Arabidopsis thaliana: one gene and its partners. The protein of the gene in region 3 interacts with the protein of the main gene of each other region in a pairwise test. Each region holds a gene or a part of one and is shown on either strand. Other genes may lie near its edges.

Evidence for each region. Proteins that work in one complex are often made in the same cells at the same time.
Region 1: the proteins of ATBET12 (region 3) and AT1G05640 interact in a protein complementation assay, tested with the Arabidopsis thaliana proteins (one large-scale study listed by BioGRID).
Region 2: the proteins of ATBET12 (region 3) and FEI2 interact in a protein complementation assay, tested with the Arabidopsis thaliana proteins (one large-scale study listed by BioGRID).

What each region holds. Positions count from the first base shown.
Region 1 is NC_003070.9:1,684,900-1,692,808, forward strand, and holds AT1G05640 (Ankyrin repeat family protein), read right to left. Parts: upstream 5,057-7,909; 5' UTR 4,603-5,056; coding exon 3,999-4,602; intron 3,900-3,998; coding exon 3,490-3,899; intron 3,407-3,489; coding exon 2,537-3,406; downstream 1-2,536. Other genes in the region: 5PTASE13 (Endonuclease/exonuclease/phosphatase family protein), read left to right, coding at 4-88, 420-728, 815-1,082, 1,228-1,351, 1,449-1,809, 1,892-2,254; AT1G05650 (Pectin lyase-like superfamily protein), read right to left, coding at 5,365-5,592, 5,703-5,931, 6,080-6,369, 6,790-7,227.
Region 2 is NC_003071.7:14,958,315-14,967,843, reverse strand, and holds FEI2 (Leucine-rich repeat protein kinase family protein), read left to right. Parts: upstream 1-2,405; 5' UTR 2,406-2,598; exon of another isoform or gene 2,599-2,827; intron 2,828-3,071; 5' UTR 3,072-3,203; coding exon 3,204-3,300; intron 3,301-3,411; coding exon 3,412-3,547; intron 3,548-3,637; coding exon 3,638-3,709; intron 3,710-3,797; coding exon 3,798-3,869; intron 3,870-4,121; coding exon 4,122-4,193; intron 4,194-4,581; coding exon 4,582-4,653; intron 4,654-4,747; coding exon 4,748-4,819; intron 4,820-5,014; coding exon 5,015-5,103; intron 5,104-5,224; coding exon 5,225-5,380; intron 5,381-5,475; coding exon 5,476-5,808; intron 5,809-5,887; coding exon 5,888-6,133; intron 6,134-6,227; coding exon 6,228-6,361; intron 6,362-6,438; coding exon 6,439-6,657; 3' UTR 6,658-6,993; downstream 6,994-9,529. Other genes in the region: MOR1 (ARM repeat superfamily protein), read right to left, coding at 338-461, 553-658, 854-1,016; AT2G35615 (Eukaryotic aspartyl protease family protein), read right to left, coding at 7,110-8,453. UniProt on the Arabidopsis thaliana protein: Involved in the signaling pathway that regulates cell wall function, including cellulose biosynthesis, likely via an 1-aminocyclopropane-1-carboxylic acid (ACC)-mediated signal (a precursor of ethylene).
Region 3 is NC_003075.7:8,306,635-8,313,820, reverse strand, and holds ATBET12 (Target SNARE coiled-coil domain protein), read right to left. Parts: upstream 3,503-7,186; 5' UTR 3,340-3,502; coding exon 3,326-3,339; intron 3,023-3,325; coding exon 2,872-3,022; intron 2,407-2,871; coding exon 2,350-2,406; intron 2,262-2,349; coding exon 2,202-2,261; intron 2,102-2,201; coding exon 2,016-2,101; intron 1,908-2,015; coding exon 1,883-1,907; 3' UTR 1,437-1,882; downstream 1-1,436. Other genes in the region: AT4G14450 (uncharacterized protein), read right to left, coding at 3,925-4,302; HCD1 (3-hydroxyacyl-CoA dehydratase 1), read left to right, coding at 6,159-6,875. UniProt on the Arabidopsis thaliana protein: Required for vesicular transport from the ER to the Golgi complex. Functions as a SNARE associated with ER-derived vesicles.

The DNA.
Region 1 (7,909 bases), on a different chromosome or scaffold from region 3:
TAGGGCGAGGAAGGATATTAGAACTCATGTTGGAGATCTTGATGTTGCAGCAGTTCCATGTGGTTTTGGCCGTGCCATTGGCAACAAGGTATGTCTTACTTCAATTCCCACTTCTTCAAATCTGATTATGATACTACATACATTCAGGCCTTTAGGATTCAGTACTTCAGTTTTTATTTGTTCTTGTGAAGTTGCAAATGAGAAAGTTATATATGAAATGTGTTGCTTACTTACAATGTTTATGACCCACTGAATGATAACACAATTACAGGAAAAAACTTAGCCTTTTGCCACAATGTGTAATCTCTTCTATCTGGCTAAGATGTAGATGACAATGCGATATAGATGTTAATTCAAATTTAGTTCTCTATGAGGTACTTGTTCCGTTTACACGCATTAATGTCCTACTTGTCAAATAGGGAGGTGTAGGTCTGAGAATCAGAGTTTATGACCGAATAATGTGCTTTGTGAATTGCCACTTGGCTGCACACTTGGAGGCGGTTAATCGCAGAAACGCAGATTTCAATCACATTTTTCGATTGATGGTCTTTTCCCGAGGACAAAATCTAAGTAACGCTGCAGCTGGTATGGTGCCGTACCTGTTTTTGTCTTGCTCACTTGGCTTTTCCACATATTTATTTTGGCTGCTTTATTCTTCTGGTTTGCCATGGGCCCTCTCTCTTGCAGCTGGTGTCTCAACTTCAGCTTATACAACAAAGAGTAACACTGTATGTTCTTATCATATCACCTTTACTCCTGAGTTTATGTTGTTTGCTCCTTAAATTTGTATTTAACATGTTTCTCTGTTTTCCAGATTCCAAGCACCGGCGCTGAAGAAATCAAGTCTGATCTTGCAGCAGCAGACATGGTCGCATTTTTTGGCGATTTCAACTATAGACTGTTTGGTATAACCTATGATGAAGCAAGGGACTTCATTTCACAGCGATCCTTCGATTGGCTCAGAGAAAGAGACCAACTTAGAGCAGAGATGAAGGTTGGAAAAGTCTTCCAAGGAATGCGCGAGGCATTAATCACTTTCCCTCCCACTTACAAATTTGAAAGGAATCGCTCAGGCCTTGGAGGTAAAAGTGGATTTGATACATAAGATATGAATTTGAAAAAATTGAAGCAGTTTTGCTCTGCTCTGTTCTCTGCATTTTTTCCTCTGTTTTGTAAGAGATGGTGGCTCCAAAAAAACTGAATCTTTCTGTGCTGTGTACTCTCCAGGATATGATTCAGGGGAGAAAAAGCGAATTCCTGCGTGGTGTGACCGAGTTATATATAGAGACACTCAATCTAGCCCATTCTCTGAGAGCAATTTGCAATGCCCTGTAGTTTCATCAGTCATAATGTATGGTTTCATGACGACCTTTCTGATGTTTCTCGCTTTTTCCGGTCTCTTCAATGTGTTTTCTCCATTCTAACTTCCCACCTGCGTGTTTCAACAGGTATGAAGCTTGCATGGATGTTACTGAGAGCGATCACAAACCCGTGCGCTGCAAATTTCATGCGACAATAGCTCATGTTGATAAATCTGTGCGGAGACAGGAACTGGGGAAAATAATAAGGTCTAATGAGAAGATTTTATCCATATTCGAAGATTTAAGATTTGTTCCAGAAACTTCTGTGAGCACCAACAACATTGTTCTTCAGAGTCAGGACACAGTCATCCTAACAATCACAAACAATTCACCCACGAGCCAAGCCATATTTAACATTCTGTGCGGTGGCCAGGCTGTAGTTAAGGATGACGGAGAAGATGCTGACTACAATCCACGAGGCTCCTTTGGTCTACCACGCTGGCTCGAGGTATTAAATTCTCTTTTGACGCCAAATGAAGATTCTTGTAGTATTCAAGATTTAGTGATATACAAGAATTTTTTTCTTTTAGGTTTCTCCCGCAGCAGGGATAATAAATCCAGAAGGATCCGTAGACGTTAAAGTTCATCACGAAGATTTTTACTCAATGGAGGAATATGTTGATGGCATCCCACAGAATTGGTGGTGCGAAGACACTCGAGATAAAGAAGCAATCCTGATGGTGAACATTCGAGGAAGCTGCTCAACAACATTGAGAAGCCACTCTGTCAAAGTCCGTCACTGCTTCTCAGCCAGAGTATGTCTCCTTGAGAACAGACCCACGAACCTAACAAAGAACTTAGGTGGTTCACGTCGTTACCCAACAGATATTACCCGTAATGGAAGCACTAGACCAAGAACTGAAGACTCGGTTAGACGAGGTAAAAGCCGGTGATGAGCTCTTGTGACTTTGACAGTTTTAACTAGATCTTAGAGCAGAAGAACAACAAAGTCATCACAAGACAAATGCATCAGGTGAAGAATCGCTTTTATTCATTCGTTGATTCTTTAGAAAATTCATTTTGTGTCAGAAATTGTAGATTTGCTTTGAGACTGTTCCTCAGGTAGCATGTATTCAACTTTTGTATCTCCTCACTTGAATCTAAACTACAGGTACGTGACCCATGTATACATTTGTTACTCTTACACTAAATTGCCTGTTCTGGAGATTTTAGTCTCAGAGTGCATACATTCTCTTGTTGAATTCGCCGTTGAGAATCTCTGACTCTGAAGGCATATGAGATAGTGAGAAAGATTTCGATTTGCTTCTCTCTTTCCTTAAGCTTTTCAGTTTAGATTCCTCGATCCTATGCATGACCACACAGTAACACATTGCACCTATCGTGGTTAGCATAATCGTCCCGCCAATAATCGTTGCACAAATCGCCAGCCAAATGTCCTCCTTACCCACAACGATAAACGAAAGAGAAACAAAGGCTACGGATATGAACAAACAAGCCAACCACATGAGCTTGTTGATCACAAACACAAGATTCTTCTTTGCCTTCTGCTCAATCACCACAACTGAAGTCTGCACCACAACAACAGCCAAAGATATGAACAGCGCCAAGCTGTCAAATATGAAGAAGACTAAAAACGGGGCTTTGCCGGCTATGCGGGCTTCTCCTAATAACAACAGTCCCTTTGTTCTGTCTTCTTCATATTGCCCAGGAATGGTGAAGATTGCTGCAAATGCAACTGTTGCAATTAGGACAGCCACAACGGTTGCAGAGTTTATAGCGTTGTTTAAACCATTGATGTGAAGCTTCTTCAGTCTCTTTGCGATTCTCCGCACCCTAACACCCGTTTGGCGAGACTGTTGGAGCTGAGACTGTACCTCGTGTTTAATGTCACTGACCGTTTGGTTAAGTTGCTTAGCCGGGTTTCGAGGCTTCCCAAGATCTTTAGCTGTTGCAGCTCCTGCTTCCTTCAGAACCGACACAAGCTCTGGATTTCCAATCTTTTCGGCTATATCAAGTGCAGTATCTCCAGCCTTATTCATAGCATTAAGGTTAATTCCATCAAATGATACCAAACATCTCACTATCTGCAAGCAAAGGCAAAATGCAGTTCATCAGAATTCTTGTAGATTGAGAAACTGAGGGGAGGGGGAATTAGCGATGATGATACCTTAATACGGCCTTTGTTTGTGGCAGTGTGCAACGGCGTATTCCCTTTACTATCCTCAACACTCAAAATCGCAGGATCAGGTTTCACCAACTCAAGAACAATCCCTTCGTTCTGACCTTTGACAGCCATGTGAAGCGCTGTTTGTCCCTTCTTATCAGTTCTAAACCCGATGCTTGCATCATTACCTATCAAAGACTTAACCACTTCTCTGTGCCCCATTCGCGCTGCAGAATGAAGTGCGGTTTTACCATTGTTCTTAGCTATCTTAGCTAAATGAGAATCCGTCTTTAAAAGAAGATTCACCACATCAGTGTGTCCTTGTGAAGCAGCCGTGTGCAATGCAGTTGTACACGATAGATCCACCGTCATAGCCAGATTCGGAAATGTCTCCAACAATTTCTTCAATGCCTCTGCAAAAGACAGCACACATTCAAAGATATATGTCAAGAAGGTGTACAACAATAACAAGGTCTTCAAGTTATTATCAGATTCTCTAAAGTTTCATTTACCAATATGGCCTTGTTTTGCAGCGACATGGAAAGGATCAAAACCGTTGCGAGCTTTAACTGATGCAGTATCAAGATCCATATGTTTCAACATCTCTTCAACAACTAATGAATGCCCATTTTCTGCTGCACTATAAAGAGGGGTCTCTCCTTCTAGATTCTGCTTTGATGACAACTCCTTCAACTCTTCAATGCCGTTACAAGCTCGAATCAATTCCATAACCTTTCCCAAATTCCCCGTTCGAGCTGCGAGATGAAGAGGAGAATCTCCTCTTTTACCAGGTGAGTCAGTCTTCTTCTTCCTCTCACCACCAACATTCATGAAACTTAACTGTCTCTCCATTACTACCCTAAAGCTTTTCTGCTTCTCAACAAACCCACGAAAGCTTCTCTGCCTCTCCATTGCCCTCTCCTGTTTCTCCATTGCTCTTCCTTTGATTCCATGTTTCTCAACAACATTCACAGCTAGGAAACTAACTTGCTTGTCCAAAGCTCTTCCCTTTCTCACCTGATTCTCTGCACCAACGCATCTGAGACTCTGCTGTTCCTCCACAGAGTTACCTCGAACGCTCTCTTGCTTCTCCATAACAGGAACCAGAGAACTCATGGTATGCTTCTCCCTTAGATTACACAAAGATCTTGAATAACAACTTTTTCTCCCAAATCTGAAAGATGCCAACTTTGTTTGAAGAATCCGTGAGCTCTTTTCCAGCAACCCGTGTTTCGTAATAACAGAACCAGCTTGAAAATGGAAAACCCTGACTTCCCTGTGATTTCCAGATTTCTTGTAAAGATTCAAACCGATGTGATGAAAGAAGAGAGAGAAAAAAAAAAAAGGTTGCAGCTGATTTCAGTAGAGTGTAGCTGAAACCCAATAGATTGATTTGTAAATCTCAATGCTTTTTGTGGGCAAATCATGTAAGATTCTCAGGATATAGAGATAGAGAGAGAGACTGTGATGAGTGACTGCATCTTCAGCTGTTTTCTTTATTAATTTCGCTAAACTTCCAAAATCTTTAGTAATATTAGTGATTACTTTTTCTTTTGAGTTTTGAAGCAACAAATTCTTAATTACTATGTCAATTATCTCCAGTTTAAAACTTTATATCCAGTTAAAGCTTCTTTTCTCTAATTTCTTTATATTTTTGTTGTCCAAATCAAAGACCAAAAAGCAAAAGCACAATGTGATGGTGACAACAAGTCAAAGTCTTCCACTTTGTTGGTTACTGAAAATAATATTTTATTAATAAAAAAAAAAAAATTGTATGTTACAGAAATTGGTGATCATATACCTTGTTACAGAAAACTATTTGAAAAATCAGTTTCCTAATAACATTTCACAGTGATATCATCTTAACCCCAAATAAATTCATCGATTTAGACAACTAGTAGGTTGAATAACACCAAGATTTTTCCCAACAGCATTGAAGCACAAGGAAGTAGCAGGAGTTCCTTTGTTGTAAGTAAGCTTTATGTCTTGTAATGTGATTCCCGTGCATGGATTGCTCTTGCTACACACCAGCTTCATTGCTTCCTGCGTCGCCGAAGTTCCTTGTATGTTCTTGTACGTCACTTGGGTTATCTTCACCCCCGAATGCTAATACATACCATAAACATAATAAATCTTTAGTTATTTGACTAAGTTGATAATTTGATATAGCATATTTGATTAGTCTGAAATTGATCAAAAATATGATATGGATATACCTCAGTAGGGCAACCTTGGTTGGACGGACAATAGTTTTGGTCGATTATGATAGGGTTTTGGACGTTCCTCATGATTAGATTTTGAAAGAAGACGTTTCTAACGAATCCGGTACTCGGCCTCGCCCATGACTTTATCCTCACGCCGTTTTGTGATCCGGTGAATACCGAACTCGATACTGTCACGTTCTCTACTCCGTCTTCGTTTAACTGCTTTGCCAAACTCCCGATGCTGCCAGTCATCACATCATCATATGAGTTGTGACCAGAGTGAGTGAAGGCAATATTGCTAGTTTTTTTTTTGTTGGAAATTCATGATTCCTAACAATTAATGATATATTTACATAATTTACTCTAAGGAATTAGACGGTGGTGTATACCTAACCCCGTGACCTGGGCCACAAGCAAGCTTGGAAATTAGGAAGTTGCGGGTCCCCTGACCGATAGCAACACAATCGTCTCCGGTCTGAACGGTGCTTCCGGTTAATGTGACTCCAGTGGAGAACTGAACGGTGAAGCCGTCAGTGTTTGGGCTGTCTCCGGGAGCCACCAGCCTAATGTTACGGACGGCCACATTGGTGCAACCGTTGAGGGTCATATGGCTAACCTGGCTGTTCATCGATTTCACTCCACTTATGATCACGTCTTTTGCGGAGTTGAACGATATTGACTACAGTAATTAATATATAAACGCCATAGATTAATAATAAGATTATAAATATTTCATTTTATTTTGACCAAAGAATCCATTTCCTTGTCCAAAAATCATTATCATAATAGTTATTATATGCTTATAAAATAAATTCCTAAAAATGGCATGGATAGATCATATTGAAAATTAAATGTGCCTGAATTAATATAGTTGAAAACTATCAACTAATTCCTTTTTTTTTTTAATCGTAAGTAAATGATTGGAATAAAGATATGTTATTTGACTATTAAAAAAAATATATTGACTTATTTAGTTATTACTAATCAATAATGATTAAAGCTATTTGTTGCTCTTTTGCATTCTGGTGGCGCTTATGTATGAATGTCAGATTGTTGTTTTTATTTACAATAACTATAGATAGAGGAGAAGCATATGTACCCTAACACCGGGAGGACAATTCTGGCCAGATTTCCGGCAAGACCAGAACCCACTACCTCGAGCGTCAAAAGTCCCACCGACCAGTGAGAATCTGTTAACCTTGTTGAAGAGAATCCAGGAACCGGAATTGCCAAAGGTCCTATAATCTTCCGGAGCAACGACGGTTCCGGTCACTTGAAATGTGATTTTGCTCTTGCATGGCCCTCCAAACGTTATTACCTTCAACAAAAATGTCCCCGTGGGGACCACCACCGTGGCTGATGCTGCCGAGCCACAAGCCCCTTGCCATGCCTTTAGGAATGCTGCTGTGGAATCGGTGACTCCGTCTGGTTTGGCCCCGAAGCTCACGACGTTGAAAACAATGGAGGCGCTGCTCGAGACATCGATGAAGGTGAGAAGTGTGAAGATAAGTGGAAATGTTATAGCTGATTTTGTCATTTTTTATATGTGAGTTTGAGTTTATGTTTGTGTTTGTGTTTGTGTTTGTGTTTGAATTGATTTGATTTGATGCATGGGTATATATAGGGAGAGAGAGCATAATTATTTTGGTTCGTTATTGGAGTCTATGGTACAATTAAGTACATGTGATATCTATATGATAAGAGGTTGTGAATATTTTATGATTGATAAAAGAGTTTACATTTCCAATCATTAGGTGCACACATGGTTGATATCGTACTTTTAGGAGCAACGGTCGTTGTATGAACGATGACATTTTTGCACATTATCAATTTCCCATATAACATGGGCCATATACGTATGTGTATATGTATTATATTCTTGGTACATGTTGTTTTTATATATTGATGAACAAAATAAATACGTGGAAACCCACTCAGCGATTGATTAGAACATAAACCGTATATAACGTTAATTCTATAGAGAACCAACAATACTAAATGAAGAAAACTATCATTTGTGCATAAATAGAAACTCAGCCATAAACTAAGAGAAAGAAACTCAACCAAAACCCCTATAGAGTGCAGAGTTGATTTTTTTTTTTTTTTTTGTTATCGACACAAAATTTACAAACTCCTGAAAGAACTACCATAAAAATAGGAATTCTTTATAAAAAAAATAGTAGTAACAAAATTAAATGAATAATATCTATCCTAATCTT
Region 2 (9,529 bases), on a different chromosome or scaffold from region 3:
GAACACAGGATGCTCAGGACATCTGTCAGTCATCGTTATTTAAATTGCTCTTTTCCTATGCCACACTAGATACCTAGCATAACACAGAACTGGACAAAGAGCCACAATGCTATATTCTACGTCACTCCTTCTAAGATCAGTATATGGTTGAATTCTGGGTTATAAAGCACTTTCATTTCTATGTCAGCTCACCTATCTAGTTTCAGATACCAGTATCAGCAATCTAGCAAGTAACTCTATGGCTAGATGGTGAACCTATACATCAGAGTGCAAGGGTTAACCGTATGTGTCTAGATAACCCTAGCAGTGTTGCAAAAACATAGAATGAATGACATACCAGAAAAACATCGACGGCCTCTAATTCTACCCAAAGCAAGAAAGCAGCCTGCGCCTTGTCCACAGTATTCTTCCGACCCGTAAGGCATTTGAGCGCAATAGCATCGCAAACTTCCTTTGCATACCTTCAAAAGCAGAAACAAACTAATTATTCACATGCAAACGAACACTCCACTCTGCCCATTTCTAAAGCAATAAAAATAAACAACACCATACCTTCCAGCATCTGAATCGGCTGCTCGCAAAAACGCAATCAATGCATCAAGCGCTTTCTCTTGCACCGGCGCATTAGAATCTGCCACCGTCTTCCTAAACAAGTGACCTGCGAATAAAAAATAATAATCAGAAATTCAATCAAAAGTAAAGCAAAATGGAACCCTAGACCAATCACATTCCCACTCAACAATCCAAATTCAAAACAGATCCACACCGATATAAACCACCCTAATCAGATCTGAGCTTCAAAAACAAAAACCCTAACATAATAATAATAAAAAAACGAGGTAGAGAAACTCACCAAAATCGCGAAGACGAGGGTCCTTAGGATCAGTAATCGAATCAAAAACAGAAGCTAAATCGACGTTAGCTTCGTTCCTAACTTTCCAATTCTTATGCCCAAGCCGATCCTCCCAAGGAAGTTTTTTCGCCTCCTTCAATAACTTCTCATCCTCCGTCGACATTACTCCACGAAATTATCTCTCCGACGGTATCGATCTTATCGATCTATACCAAGTTTTTTTTTTCTTCGTACGGTCTCTTGGAAACTTTCTCTCTCTTTTCAAAAAAATTTCTTCGTGTTGTTAGTGCCGGCAAGAGAGAGAGAGAGAAGGACAAAAAAGAAGAGTAGGGTGGAGCGTAATGAGAGAGAGAGAGTGGGGGAATTTTGGTTTCTACGTTTAAATCGGTGGTGTAATTTTTTTGTTAAAAACCCTTCACGCGCGTTTTGATTGGAAATGTTTACACGCGCGATTATTTCAAATCTTAAAACGAGCGTTTTTCTTTTGCTTTCTCCACGTGGAGAGATCGGCATTTTCAAACTATTTTAGGAAATGATTAACAGTACTGAATTTTCCTATTGTTGGTTCTGTAAATATTTTCAAAATATATTTACATTAACAATCTATTAATTTCTAAGAAAATAAAGTAATATTTTGAAATGAATAACTCATTTTTAGTTATAAAAATATTTATTTTAAAAAATCAACAAAATCATGAGTTATTATTACTTACTTATTGGATTATCTTTTCTTCTATAAAATACAAATAAATAGTCATTTTCTATAAAACTAGACACGTAAACCAAAATGGATTTATTAGTTTGATTATGGAAGTTCAAAAACATTGTGTATTTTATGATTTAAAAACTAGTTAAAATTTATTATTTTAATATCCTAAATATTTATGCTAGGATCTGATTTCGCTTTGGATTTTAATATATTTGAAATATCTAATTCAAATTCAGAATACAAATACTCAAATTTCAAACAAACTTTGATTGATAATTAGTACAAGAATATTTAAGCCACACCACACCTTACACCTTTTCCATCTCCATCCTCATGTCTTAGGTGATGTAACTCTCTATCTCCAGATATCTTTTCTTGTCTACTGCTAACACATGAAACAACAACTCAAATTTAAGCCATATTTTTACAATGGTACCAAATTTATAAGAATCATAGATGAAATTACCAAAACAAGAAGTTACGTGGAAAGATTGAATCCAATATTAATATTTTGATTTCTATTATAAAAGCAAATGAAATAATGATTATCAGTCCATTGTTTGTTCCATTTTTAAGTACACTTGTTTGTTTGATTTAGGTGAATAAGATCCGCTAAAGCTGAAAATACAAGAATTGTCCCTAAAGATAGTAAAGTACAGTACGCTTCCAAATAAATAACAATGGGCTTTAGTAGGCCCACGCAATAACGATGTTTTAACTGACCCAACAAGCCCTTGTCCAGTTCTGGCATTATACAATGCGTCGGTCGACACGTGTAATAAGTCATGATCGGCACGTGTGGTCTCCACTTCTCCTCTCTCATTGGTCGTAAACTCGTAACTAGCCGATTCCTTCTCCAAAGTATCTCACATTTCCACTGCACACTCTACTTTCTCTCTCTTCACTCTCTCATAAATCACAACAACAACAAAAAAAAAAAAGTTGTTAGTTAAGACATTGCTTTACAGCTCAATTGCGTCTTCTTCCTCTGTCTTATTCTTCATCTTCATCTTCCTCCTCGCGGATCCATTTTGAGGTTCGTGTAAATTCCCATTCTCTTTCGCCATTTTTTTGGGGGAAGTGAGATTTTGGTCTGAGTTATCGGCGAATCGATTTCGTTTTTTTAGATTATTGAATGGTTTTGTTGACTCTTCAGTTCTTCTTGTGCTGTGATTGCAATGATGTCCTCCGAATTTCGTGATTTAAGTTCGATTTTAGCTATCCGAGCTCCTCTTTAAATAATGAGTTGGGGTTTTATTCTGAAGGTTCGATTTCTGATTTTGCAAATTTGGGAGGTGGATTTGATCCGATTAGATAATCTCACTGTTCTGGGTGCTGTAATTGTTAATGAGACCATGCAAATGTTGTGCATCGATGTTGTGGAACGCTTGATTTGTAATTGAGGATTTGGTTGTCTGATTATTGGAAGATCGAGGCTTGATAGAGTTTCAAATGAGGGTCAGCTGTTATTGTTGTACGGTCTAATGACATTATTTTATTTAACTTCAGGAGTCTCTTTTTGTTTCTTGAAGATAGACTGGGCGTCACGGAGCAGCTGAGTATATGCTACGAGTGTTGCATTCCGGAGGCTGTTCTTTCAGATGATTGGCAGTAGCTATATTATGCTTGAACGGTGCCATAATGGGCATCTGTCTAATGAAGCGCTGCTGCTCATGGTTTCTTTTGATCTCGTTTCTCTCTGCACTAACGAATGAAAATGAAGCAATTAGTCCTGATGGTATACAGCGATATGTGTCTTTAATCTCTTCTATATTTTGTCTTTGACAAGTCATGATCACCATTTACTCCGCCCAGATTGCTGAAGGGATTAAATCCTTTTTTTCTCCAGGTGAGGCGCTTTTGAGTTTTAGAAATGGAGTTTTGGCTTCTGATGGTGTTATTGGTCTGTGGAGACCAGAGGATCCTGATCCATGTAACTGGAAAGGAGTGACCTGTGATGCAAAAACAAAAAGAGTTATAGCCTTGTAAGTTTAAAATTTCTTTAGTTTAAATTCTTTTTTTTTCTTCAGTATGTGGTGCATCTTTTGTCGGTTCCTGAAGTTTCTTGTGTGCAGGAGTCTTACTTATCACAAATTAAGGGGACCTTTACCCCCTGAGCTTGGAAAGCTGGATCAGTTAAGGCTTTTGTATGTGCTCCTAACCTTTTAATTAATATTATTGATGTCTAGCATATGCTCTACTACTCATTGTATGTGTATTCCCATGTCATTGCAGAATGCTTCACAACAATGCGTTATATCAATCAATACCTGCCTCATTGGGAAATTGCACGGCATTAGAGGGAATGTAAGGGCTTTCCCAAATACTTATGCTGATTAGTGTGATTACACTTCATTGCTGATCGAATTCTCGTTTTGTTTTTCCAAATTTTATATTATTTCCTAACAATTACTAGTGTTTTTCTTTATTTGCTTCTATATAGTTGGTGCATAATATTGATGCGTCTTGTGAGTGATGATAAACTCAGTCACAAGTTTAGCTAGTTGACAAGAATCGTTGTGAATCTTTTATAATTTATTGTCCTTTTATTCCTTGCAGATACTTGCAGAATAATTACATCACTGGGACAATCCCAAGTGAAATAGGAAACCTGTCCGGGCTGAAAAACCTGTACGTGGTTTTTTTCCTCGTTCTTCCAAGTGGATTTGTTTTCTTAGCCTCTCTAGGATCTGCTATTTGTTGTTCTGCTATCTACTCTCACCATTTAGTATCCTCTATAATTATATTGTGAACTACAAGAGGTTCTTCTGATCTTCCATGCAGCAACAACATAATGTTTTCGAAAGTACTTATTTCTACAGTCGTGGTGAACCCTAAAAATTATAGGGAGTTTGACATAACTTATATTTAATCACGTATTGTGTTATTTTTTCCGGGTGAAAAACTCTCAAATATGATGATGAGAATTGTAAATCTATGCTAGGCTTCTTTCATATTAAATGGGCATATCATCTACATTCTTCTGAACTACTATGATTTTTGACTCTCATTTATGAAGGGACCTCTCAAACAACAATCTCAATGGAGCTATCCCTGCTTCACTTGGGCAGTTGAAAAGGCTTACTAAATTGTGAGTTGCTAATCTCTAACTTGCGTATTTTATTTTGCAGTCCTGTAGATATATGAGTGTCAATGTTACTAACTATGTTGATCTTCTTTTGAAGCAATGTCTCAAACAATTTCCTGGTGGGAAAAATACCTTCTGACGGCCTACTCGCTAGACTCTCGAGGGACTCGTAAGTATAATTTATATATACCCATTTCCCCAACCAAATTTTTGTAAATTATGGTTGATAAATCTTTCTACGGTTGATCTGGCAAAGCAGTTATAATTTTTTTTGTGACGTTGTGTACGATAGCACCCTGTTACTAGCTTTGCAGCAGTGTAGCTGAAAATAACCAAGTCGTAAACTGTTGAATCACTCTTGCAGCTTCAACGGAAATCGTAACTTGTGTGGAAAACAAATCGATATTGTGTGCAATGACAGTGGAAATTCTACAGCTTCTGGGTCTCCAACAGGTAAAGCAACTGTGTTTTAATCAATTTCTTGTCAGGATATATGGATTATAACTTAATTTTTGAGAAATCTGTAGTATTTGGCGTGAAATGAGTTTGCTTTTTGGTTTCTCCCGTGTTATAGGCCAAGGAGGTAATAACCCTAAAAGGCTGCTTATAAGTGCTTCAGCTACTGTGGGTGGGCTGCTCCTAGTGGCGCTCATGTGTTTCTGGGGATGCTTTCTCTATAAAAAGCTTGGTAGAGTTGAGAGTAAAAGCCTTGTGATAGATGTCGGTGGAGGTGAGCCATGCTGACTCATATTGTAGATATTCTCTCTAAGAGTTATATTTTTCTCTCAAAACTTGACACCATAAGAGACGATTTTTTCTATCCAGGTGCGTCTATAGTGATGTTCCATGGAGATTTGCCCTACGCTTCCAAAGACATTATCAAGAAACTGGAATCTCTTAATGAAGAGCACATAATAGGCTGTGGAGGCTTTGGCACAGTGTACAAGCTGTCTATGGACGATGGCAATGTTTTTGCGCTGAAAAGAATTGTTAAGTTAAATGAAGGTTTTGATCGGTTTTTTGAAAGGGAGCTTGAGATTCTTGGGAGCATCAAACATCGTTACCTTGTGAATCTACGTGGATACTGCAATTCACCCACATCAAAGCTTCTGCTATATGATTACCTTCCTGGTGGTAGCCTTGATGAAGCTCTACATAGTAAACCCTCAACTTCATATTTACGGGTTTCCTTAACGGAGAATTATGATTCTATTAAGTGAAATTTTTGAATGTGTAGAGAGAGGCGAGCAGCTGGATTGGGATTCGCGAGTTAATATCATAATAGGAGCGGCAAAAGGGTTGGCATACTTGCATCATGATTGTTCTCCTAGGATTATACACCGTGATATAAAATCAAGCAACATCTTACTGGATGGAAATCTGGAGGCTCGGGTATCAGACTTTGGGCTTGCCAAGTTGTTAGAGGACGAAGAATCTCATATTACAACCATTGTTGCAGGCACATTCGGTTACTTGGCTCCAGGTACTCAATTACACAGTAATAACAATGCTTATTACTTGTTGTTACTATCTGTTAGGACCTAAATCCGTGAACTCATAATGAGTGTTTTTTGCAGAGTATATGCAAAGCGGTAGAGCGACTGAGAAAACCGATGTTTACAGCTTCGGGGTTTTGGTTCTTGAAGTCTTGAGTGGTAAACTTCCCACGGATGCCTCATTCATCGAGAAAGGCTTTAACATTGTTGGTTGGGTAAGCATAACGAGATCCAGCTTAGATAATAATATTGACTAGTAAAAGCTTAAATTTTGTTTTTTATAATCTTGCAGCTAAACTTCTTAATCAGCGAAAACCGGGCAAAGGAGATTGTTGATCTAAGCTGTGAAGGAGTGGAGAGAGAGAGTCTCGACGCACTTCTATCAATAGCAACAAAGTGTGTGTCGTCAAGTCCAGATGAGCGGCCAACAATGCACAGAGTCGTCCAGTTACTTGAATCCGAAGTTATGACTCCTTGCCCCAGCGACTTCTACGACTCCAGCTCCGATTGATCTCACGTTCACAAAGTCTGTCTGCCTTCTCTTTTCAGAGTTCCTTTTCAGTTTTACAGTACAAAGTTCTCGAGCCATTCATAGTCGGTACCTTTTTTTTTTTTTTTTTTTACTTTGAATTGGTAGATTGGTGACACGCCTCAATTGATCTGATCATGAGATTAAAATGTATATGACCATCCATTGTAGAAACACTGTTCCTAAGAATCTGAATAATTTCTCTATCATAATACTTTCTTGTTTGCTTTCTTAAGTTTTATTATACATGTTGTGTACTTCGGAACTAGTTGAAACCAATCATATAATATCGATGAGAAGATCAATATAGAAAGAAGGTAATTATTTTTACTAGCAAGGATAATTTTTAAGCTTTGATTCTGATTTTACATCTCCATAACAAACAAATGATTATCATGGACAATATAAAATAAGCTCGATACGACGCCGTCAAATCACAAATTCGCAGAGCAATCCATGTGTTGAAACGACACCGTCCTCGTCTCCAAGTCATACCCAACTAGGAAATCCATCTGAGCAAAGTTCCCATAGATGGCAACCTCGGTGGTCGGAACCATACTCAAGCAAACCATGTCTTCACTCAGTTTCACGAATGCGTTGATCGGACTCAGCCTCACATCTGCACCCGTGAAATGCACCGTTATCTCCGGCAAACCGATCTCTGCACTTCCGGATTTGAAACAGTGAGACAAAAGCCCTTGTGGATCACTCACGCGCTTGGCTCCGGTCACTGATTCCTCCACCGCCGAGCTAAATTTGTCAAAGAAACCAGCTTCGAGGAGGGTCAGTGTCGTTCCAGAGTCGATGATGATGTTTCCAGATGTCTCCGAGAGTATTCCGTCGTCGTTTGGGTTATACGAGCTTCCGGTGTAAGGAATCTTTTTCTTCCCGACGGAGATGGCTTCAAGCGTCAAGTAGTAGTAAGTAAGAGGCTCTTTATCGACCAACGGAGTTGATACCACGCCGGAGTCTTTGCTTAGACTTGAAGGAATCGAGTTAGTGCCTAGGTTTATGACGCTTGTGCCATTCGTGGTAGCTGACTTGTGAGACAAGCAATAAGAAAATTTCTTCGAAATCGACGAACCGAGCTGGGAGATTAGTGATAAATGACCACCACCTAGACCGATAATCCCAGAACCAGTCTCGTCGAAGGTACCACCGTTATTGTAGCCACAACCGAAGACAGTACCAGGAAAAGAAACAGGGGACCCTGAAGCAGAGTCAATAGAGACAGTTTCCGTGGCAACGTCTCCTTTGCTGAACGACTGATCACCGTAAGAGTAACGGTACTTGCATATATTGTTGGATTCATCGCATCCCCGTTCCGTACTGGACAAGGCCTGGCAGTTACGTGAGTCACAAGGCTCGCTCTTATAAGTAGAGGATTTCTTCTTGTCGAAGATTGGACCGTTTTCTTTGTAACATTGTTGACAAGGCTTACATTGGACCCAAGTTAGGTCACTTCCTGTGTCAGCGATCGCAAAAACCTTTATTGGTGGAGTACCGATGGTGATACTCATGAAAAACTCGCCGTCTGCTCCGATTAAACCGGATTGGAGATCGGTTTGGGATAGTTGGTGGTTGAAGCGGCGGGAACGAGAGACTGAGCGGAGGAAAGCAGCGTTGAGGCGATCAGTGACGGTGATTTGTGGGTTGTAGATTGGGGAAAGGGGAGAGTCACGGTGGATCAGCTCAACACTGAAGTTTTTTGGGTGACCCGATGAAGAGAGAGTCACCGAGAAGAAGAGGAAGAAACAGAGAAGAATTTGGGTTGCCATTGTTGATTAGTTTTAGAAAGTTTGTGGTGGAAAGAGTGAAGTGGAGAAGAGGTTTTTATACACAACAAAATTGGGGAAGTGAAGAGATTTGAAACGGTAAGGAGTTATAGCTACGTGAGTGGGGAGGTGAAAGTCTGAAATGCAATTCATTAGCTATCTTTTAATTTCACACTAAGGCTGCTAATTTAATTTGAGGCTAGTGGGGTTGAGGGGAAATTAATATCAACGTTTTCAAAATTGGGACTTGGAAGATTAGACATTTATCATCTTAAGAGCATATCTTGTGTGAGTATATGTTATACACCACACTATAATACCAGATATAATCATTTTGGTTTTGTGTTTCCTAATTTTACAATAGGCAGAGGAACTCATGTTATGTCATATAGGACCAGGATTTGCCATGTTGCTCGATAACTTCAAAAGTTCAAAGTTTAAATCATTTGTTGTGGTAATCATGTAACACTGAGAGTACTTTTGGCCGTGAGGAAAACATGTGATTAAGTTGAGGGAAAATAATTCAAATTCAGTTGGCACGGAGAAAAGGGAAATGTGATATGCTTATATTAGTAATGCAATGGCTTGGTCACATGGTAATAGATTCACTTAATTCGAAGGTGCATGCTAAATCAGAACGTTAATCACAATGGGAAGATGGACACTAATTCAACCCCTATGGCTATATGACTGAAAGACTGGTCAAGCTGCGTACTGAACTTGAAGCTTCTGAGACTCTTTCCAGGTACTGTCATGAGGATGGTCAGATTCCCATTGTTGCTGTCCCCAGTTCAGTCTTTAGAGGGGTCTTCCACACTGTGCAGGCTGTATAAAGCAAATAAGTCAAATCTCAACCTCTCATTTAATGAGTATATTGTGAAAGAGACGATGTCATACAATTAGGAGGCTGGCCCTGTCTCTCAATAGGATGTTCAACGATCCACGAATCCAACGCTCTGCATATGTTTGTAATTTTTATTGACAGGCACCAATAACGAAAATTAAACAATTTCTATGGAGATAAATTGAAAGCCACTCACGAAACAAAAGGTGCCACCATGTCCAATTTGAGACCATCA
Region 3 (7,186 bases):
TACATCGGAGATTCAAGATCGGAGAAGAGAGACGAAGAAGAAGATAACAACTTTTCTTATTCAGCTTAAAGTGTTGTTACAACCAACTTAACTAACAAAGTAATCGAGATTAAACTTATATACATAAGATTATTGTGGTTAGTAAACCACATTCAACCAAACCAGTGATAACCGAAGTTAACCAGTCCTATATCCTTAATACTCCTCGCACATGCCTATATACGGCATGTATGTAGGTTCAATATGCAAGTTGATGTTCTTGAGTTCCTTGTCGATCGTGTTTTTAGCAATCATACCTCGCATTCTAGAAGCAATGTGCTTTTGACGGATATGACCCGTGTCATAACTCTGTTATGGCCCAATAGCTTCTGAGAGGTGTCACTTCTGCTAAGAGAGCATGCTTAGCATAGCCATGGTGGGCGTGCTCCAATGTATGTGCATGTACATTTAATTTTTTAGTCAGCTCCTTGTAAATATTCAATTAACTACGACGATAATTTGTGAGCTAGAGCAACCAAAGCTCGAATGAAGAGTTAATTGAAGAAAGCAAGTCATTTCCCGCAGCATCATGAATCTTTTTCTCTTAGTAATTAGGGTGGTAGGACATGTCGTATACTAGTCTTTCTAAAGGCTGAGTATTTCGTCGGCTTTCTTAGAAACGATTTCGATTGTACATTGTATATATGTCACGATTAGGTTGATGGATTCACTACCAACAGTATATTAGATAACCATGTAGCTTACTATTTTTTGAATGATCTATATATCTAACTTCTTCAAATAATTACACATATTTTTCATGTGAATCCAAAACACTTTTGTTTATAATCTAGCACCCTGTTTAATATATGTAGCATAACATCTGTTGTTGTGTTATAATATATTTATTTTACAAAAATCACATTCATATTTACTAACATGGTATTTTAGCATATACTAAAAGATCAGAAGAAATTGAAAAACTACTCCCGATTTAATAAGGTAACATTTTTTTTTTTTTACTTTTTTTCTATATATTGTGCCAGAACTCAAATGTTATCCTCTAGTAGCTATATTAAAACTCATGGTTATTTGACTATTTATCTAAACAGTAGTTTCAAGAAATTTACTATTTAGCATAGCAACCTGTTATTCACTCGTAAATTCAACATTTAAGACTATAGTTTACATAATTGTTAAGATGATTTGACCTAGAAACCGAACCATTTGGAAATGTACATGTCAACTTGTTGTCTATTACCAAACCAAAAATGAACTTGTCGATTATTGTCAACTTGTTACCTAAAGTGGAAAAAAAATCAAACTCTTCTGCATAGTAGTGTCCTGTCAACTTGTGGAATTGTTGCGAGTCGTTCAAAAATGATATTTCTCATGTTGTTACGTATTTGGATCTTTAGCAAAATGTCAATATACAGGACGGTATTTGCGCCTTAAAATTCTGAAAATTGGAAATTTTTGGAAACAAGACGCCAAGTTATCTTGTTTTTATTACAAAGTGCTAAACTTTTTTTCACAGAAAGCTAATAATTAAGCTTATCAATCAATCAATTAAGCTTTTTGTAGACAAAACTGCTAACATGAACCCAAGATCAAATAGTTGACAAATGATAAAGAAGCTTTTGCTACATTACATGAAATGACATGAGATGATTTTGCTTGTGACAAACAAGTCTCTATCAAACATTTTTTCTTTCGGTTGGTTCACTAGTCTCTTCACAATCTCTTTCTTTGTCTTGTTTCAATAGGGTTTCAATAGGGTTTCAATAGGGTCCCTTGACTTGTTTACTATGTCTGAATCATTCATTCATCAGGAGAAATCCAAAAATGGAAGTCCCAAACGAAACTATTCATTTAACACTCTACTTTCTTCTTGTATCCAAATTTACCCTTTGATGTAGTTTAATAGCCTGCAAAATCCGAAAGATTGTCAGTGTTCGAGTCAAAGAACAAGGACTTGAACCAGTCCCTAAGAAAAGTCAAGTGTTTTGATAACTATAAGAAGAAGTGTATTTTACCTAATAAGGTAATACATGATCAAGAACAGGAGCACAAAATAAGCTATGAGTTTGCAACTTTTTCGATTAGACTTCTTCTCAAAGACCTGTCGTGTTAAAATCGAGTTTTATTCAGATATAAGTTTTGATAGCGAAAAACAAAAGGGGTGATGCATATATAAAAGGTACGAAATCTTATTTACATACCAACTTGAAGCGGTTGATCGTTCCCGACATTATCCCCCTCGCGGAGTCCATTTTGTTCCCCTAGAGATACAACAACAAATAGCTTAGAAGAAAAGCATGTGATAGAGATCTACAAACTGAAACAGATGAAATCAAACTTTCAGCTTACCACTTTGTCAAGCAAGCGGTTATGATTCTCAACTTCTTCATGTATGTCTCCAGTCACCTGATAAGATATTATTACCAACTTACATCTCAGGCAAGCGTTATTGCAAACTAGATTTGACAAGAGTGAAAACAAAAAAGGCATTGTTTTCATAACTAGACTTTTCTAAGGCATTACATCATAGCTCGATCCTTGTCGTTGAGTCCGAAAGACTTATACAGGGTCTAGTGATAGCAATGCTGGAGAGAATGTTCTTAATCTACAATTTCAATACATATCTAGGAACTAAAAACTAAGTTCAATTTCTTTATATCTAGACTTTTCGAAAGCATTAGATCATCGTTCGATGCTCGAAAGATACATTTAGGGTCTCGACTTAGCAGTGCTTAAGGGACTGTTCTTTCTCAAACAATAAGGATCAGTAGCACCATCCATTTCACAATAAAGAATCACAATTCTTAATCCTAATGTTTATGCTTGTGTTGATATTTTGATTCTTTAGTTATATAGATGAAAGAAACATACTCTCTTGAGAAACGAAACTCTGTCCTGAAGATTTTCCAAAGCTTCATCATTATCACGTTCGTCATGAGCATACGAAGAAGAAGCTCTCAAGCGACCTTCTTCAAGTCCATCAAGGCCATCAAAGAGAGACGTTCTCGAAGCACGATTCTCCCTACAGAAATCAAAACCATTGGTTCTTAATCAGATCCAATTTTCTCCAATTCTAGTTGGATACACTCAATTCAAAATCTGGAAAACTGTAATTAGAACTCTAGAATTAGGTCAATGACTCAGAATCAGGAATTCGAATGTCGGTGATTCAAAAAACTAAGATTTCAGAAAGAGTGAATCTGGAGATTGTGAAGAGATCTAGATCAAATTCGATCGAGAGCAGAATCAATATCATTTGTTAAACATTGATGAATCTACATAAAAACAGGATTCGAATGCAGAGGAAGAGATCAATAGATCAAACCTTCGAAAGTTCATTTGATTCGTCTTCGATTCTACTCTCTTACGAAGGATTCAACATAACAGACGAATTTAGAGCATTGTAAAGGAAATTCTCGATTTGGATTCAATTCCAGAAGCGTAAGTTTTCGTGTTTTGTTTGCGAGAAACGTACGAAAGTTCTTACTGTACTACAAGTCCCTAGAAGAAGAAGAAGAAAATAGAATTAAATTGAATTGGGCTTACTGGGCTTTAGTTCGGCCCATATTGAATCCATGAAGTTAGTTTTTTTATTTGTTAAAAGTGAACACTTTGAAGAAATGAACTTTAAAGAAAAGTCCAACCCTAGATGTATGATGGGTTAATTTGACAATTTATTTAAAGAATTCATGCAACTATTTTCTCCATGTTTTTCCCATAATTTTGTTTCATGTGTTTTATGCATTTTTTTTTACCCATTTAGAACTTGAATTAATACTTTGTTAGTGAATAATATTATCTCTTAGAGGATAAAACTGATACAAAAACGTGAAAAATAGTTAACCGCGTGTAATATCACAGGAACAAAATTCACACGGGGCTGGTAGCTGAGTCATCAAATCTACAAAATTTTGATGAACCGTTCTAAACCTGGATGAACGGTGGGACAAACGTTGTTGGCTCGTAGCAGAACGGCGACGCGGGATGTTGCCATTTCTTGAAAACTGGTGTCTTCTTCACCTCTTCTTCCACTGGTATCTCAGTCTTGTTCTGCGGCGGAGGAACATGTGATTGGTCGAAGGATGATGTTAGAGAAGGAGCGAGCGGTGAAAGGAGAGGGATCGCCACGTTCCAGTTACTAAAAGACGTTGGTTTGATCATTAAAGACGGAGCTCGTCTCTGTAGCTGGCTAAGTTGCCTCTCGTTACTGGCCGCGGAGCTGCTTGTTCTTTGCATCGTGGACGCCATGGAGATAGATTTGTGAATTGTAGGATAATTGAGTACTTTTGTATCAAAGAACATAATAATGATGTTGGTGTGTGATGTCTGATGTTTATGTAGATGACATATATAATAAGGTGAGGAGGGCCACGACTTGTAACATGTTGACTAGGTACATTACATACACGCTTGGATATGGTCATTGGTCAGAGTTGGAGAAAGAAAATTAGCTGCTTTATCTTCCCTTTTCCCGTTTCTTTACATTTTTGTTTTGGCAATACTCTTTGACCAATTCTTTTTGAATTTTCCATGCTTGTTTTTATGTTAAAGTTCTTTTTAATATTAAATTACAAAGACATCGATCTTGTTAATGGAAGTCAAACATGTTCATGAAATGTTAAATGGTGGATGAGGTTTACCTATACAGATTCTCGTGAACATGTTCTATTGGACTTTTATAATATATATGGACCAGAGGTGAATATGAATATGAATATGTAAGTTGAGTCTAGTGCGGACAGAGCTTTACAATCTAAGCCACAAAACAAAAGAAAGCAAAAATCGGACCATGTCACGATGTGCTTAAATATGTGAGGTTTTTGCATTTTTCAGGCCAAGTCAAGTCAACTAGCCGCCTGATTAACTTCTACACGAACAAAAAAATGTAATCCAATGGTTTGTGTTAGTGTTGTCAGTGTGTCATCACCCTTATGGCCTTATTCAAACCCGCATATTGCATGTTGCTAACCAAAATATAAATAGTAAGAAAGTTAACATGATCTTGTAATATATGAGTATACTGATTTGTATTATAAGTCCCATCGTGGTGTCATTAATCGAACACAGAGCCGTCTCTAGTATTTAATAGATTGCAAGCAAAGAACAAAATTTAGACCTATTTTAATGAGTGAAAATGAAAAAATAACAAGGTAAATGAAGGTAGATGGACTCAAACTTTTGACGACCATAGGTATCTAAGAATCAAATAATCAACGTTTTTACTGAAAGTTATAAAAAAATTAGGTCAATATTTTATTTGTAGTAATTGAGGCCGCAAGCATAAATTTGGTCCTATTGCGTTCATGGACGGCTCTGATCGGACATAAATACGGTATAAAATTTTTTAAAAATAAAAGTCAATAAACAAGATAAATCTTAGTATTTATTCGGTATAAAATAAAAATCTTTGCATATTAAATAAATATTTGAATATGTATTTGAATTATAGGATCTTGTAAAATAATGATTGTTATATGTCTAGTTAACAGTTTTATCGGTTAGACCGGCTGGTCAAGTATGGATCTAAAGACACTGTTCTTTTCTATGTAGCTTGTGTATTTAATAAATTAAAGAGTTGGCGGACTAATATTAACCTAACTAATGTTGTTTGCACAACTTAAAGAGTTAGTGAACTAATTTAACTACTCATGTCGGTCTCTTATGGAATGTGTCCATGAGTAATGCTAAAGCAGAGATCTCAATCAATCATGCTTCAAAAATAAAGTTCATAGATTCAAAAGCCATGACAAGATATCTAAAAAATCATACGAACAGTTGTAAGTGTGTAAGCACTAAAAAAAGGTTGTTAATATTAATCAAGTGGAGACAAGGAAACCAAAATTGATTTAGCCAATAGCTGCGAAAGAACAAAATGGTAATTACGTCCAAGGACAAACAGTTACAATTATCATTTTCAGCAAGAAAGTCACACATTCATTCATACACATTTGTCTCGTCTGCATTTAATAACATTGACACCAAAATGGTTGGGAAGATTACCCAATTTAAAGACTTCGGTGGCAAAGCACGTCTAATAAATATACAGTTGGGTTCCCTTCTATTAATTACTCAACACTCACTTCTATATCACAGTTTTCTACTAACTCTTTCCTTATTCTTGTACCATCCTAAATCAGTAAGTCCTTAACGTACGCACCATGTGTACGTTAGAGAAGCGCGGCGATCTCTTTCTCCTAACCCTAACCGGCGAAGACGAGCACAGATTCCACCCCGACACGATCGCCTCTGTTCTCTCGCTTCTTGAACAAGCAAAGTCTCAATCCACAAAAGGATCCGTCCTCATCACTACCGGTCACGGAAAGTTCTTCTCCAATGGCTTTGACCTCGCGTGGGCTCAATCCGCTGGACACGGTGCTATAAAACGGATGCACCAAATGGTCAAATCCTTTAAACCGGTGTTAGCCGCCCTCCTCGATCTTCCAATGCCGACGATCGCCGCCTTGAACGGCCACGCGGCAGCCTCGGGGCTGATGTTTGCGCTGAGCCACGACTACGTTTTCATGAGGAAAGACCGTGGGGTTCTATATATGAGCGAGGTGGACATCGGGCTACCGGTGCCGGACTACTTCTCGGCGTTGGTCGTGGCTAAGGTTGGGTCAGGTATCGCGAGAAGGGAGCTGTTACTGAGCGGGAAGAAGCTCAAAGGAGAAGAAGCGGTGGCTCTCGGGATCGTGGACTCAGCGGCGCATGATAGTGCGGAAGGTGTGGTGGAGGCTACAGTGAGCCTTGGAGAAAGTTTGGCCGCTAAGAAATGGAATGGTGAGGTGTATGCAACCATTAGGAAGAGTTTGTATCCGGAGCTTTGTCGGATGGTTGATTTAACGGCAAATAACTTGGCCACTCACAACCTCTAGAAACTCTCATTGTCTTGTTGGGAGAAAAATGGTTGAAATATGAATATTGCCGACAAAAGTCAACGTCCATTTCACTAAGCACGTATTTGTTTCTCACCAATAAAACATAATTAATCTAACCTACGTCTTTTTATTTTTCATTTAGTTGAAATTTTAACAATATTAATAACCATATCAATACAACTATTGATAAGTTATATTAGCTAGAATATTTGTAATTCATACTTGATAATCGTACTAGCATCAGCAATATATGTCACATCATGCATCTATTTATAATATCCAAATTACGTCATATGACCATAATCGTA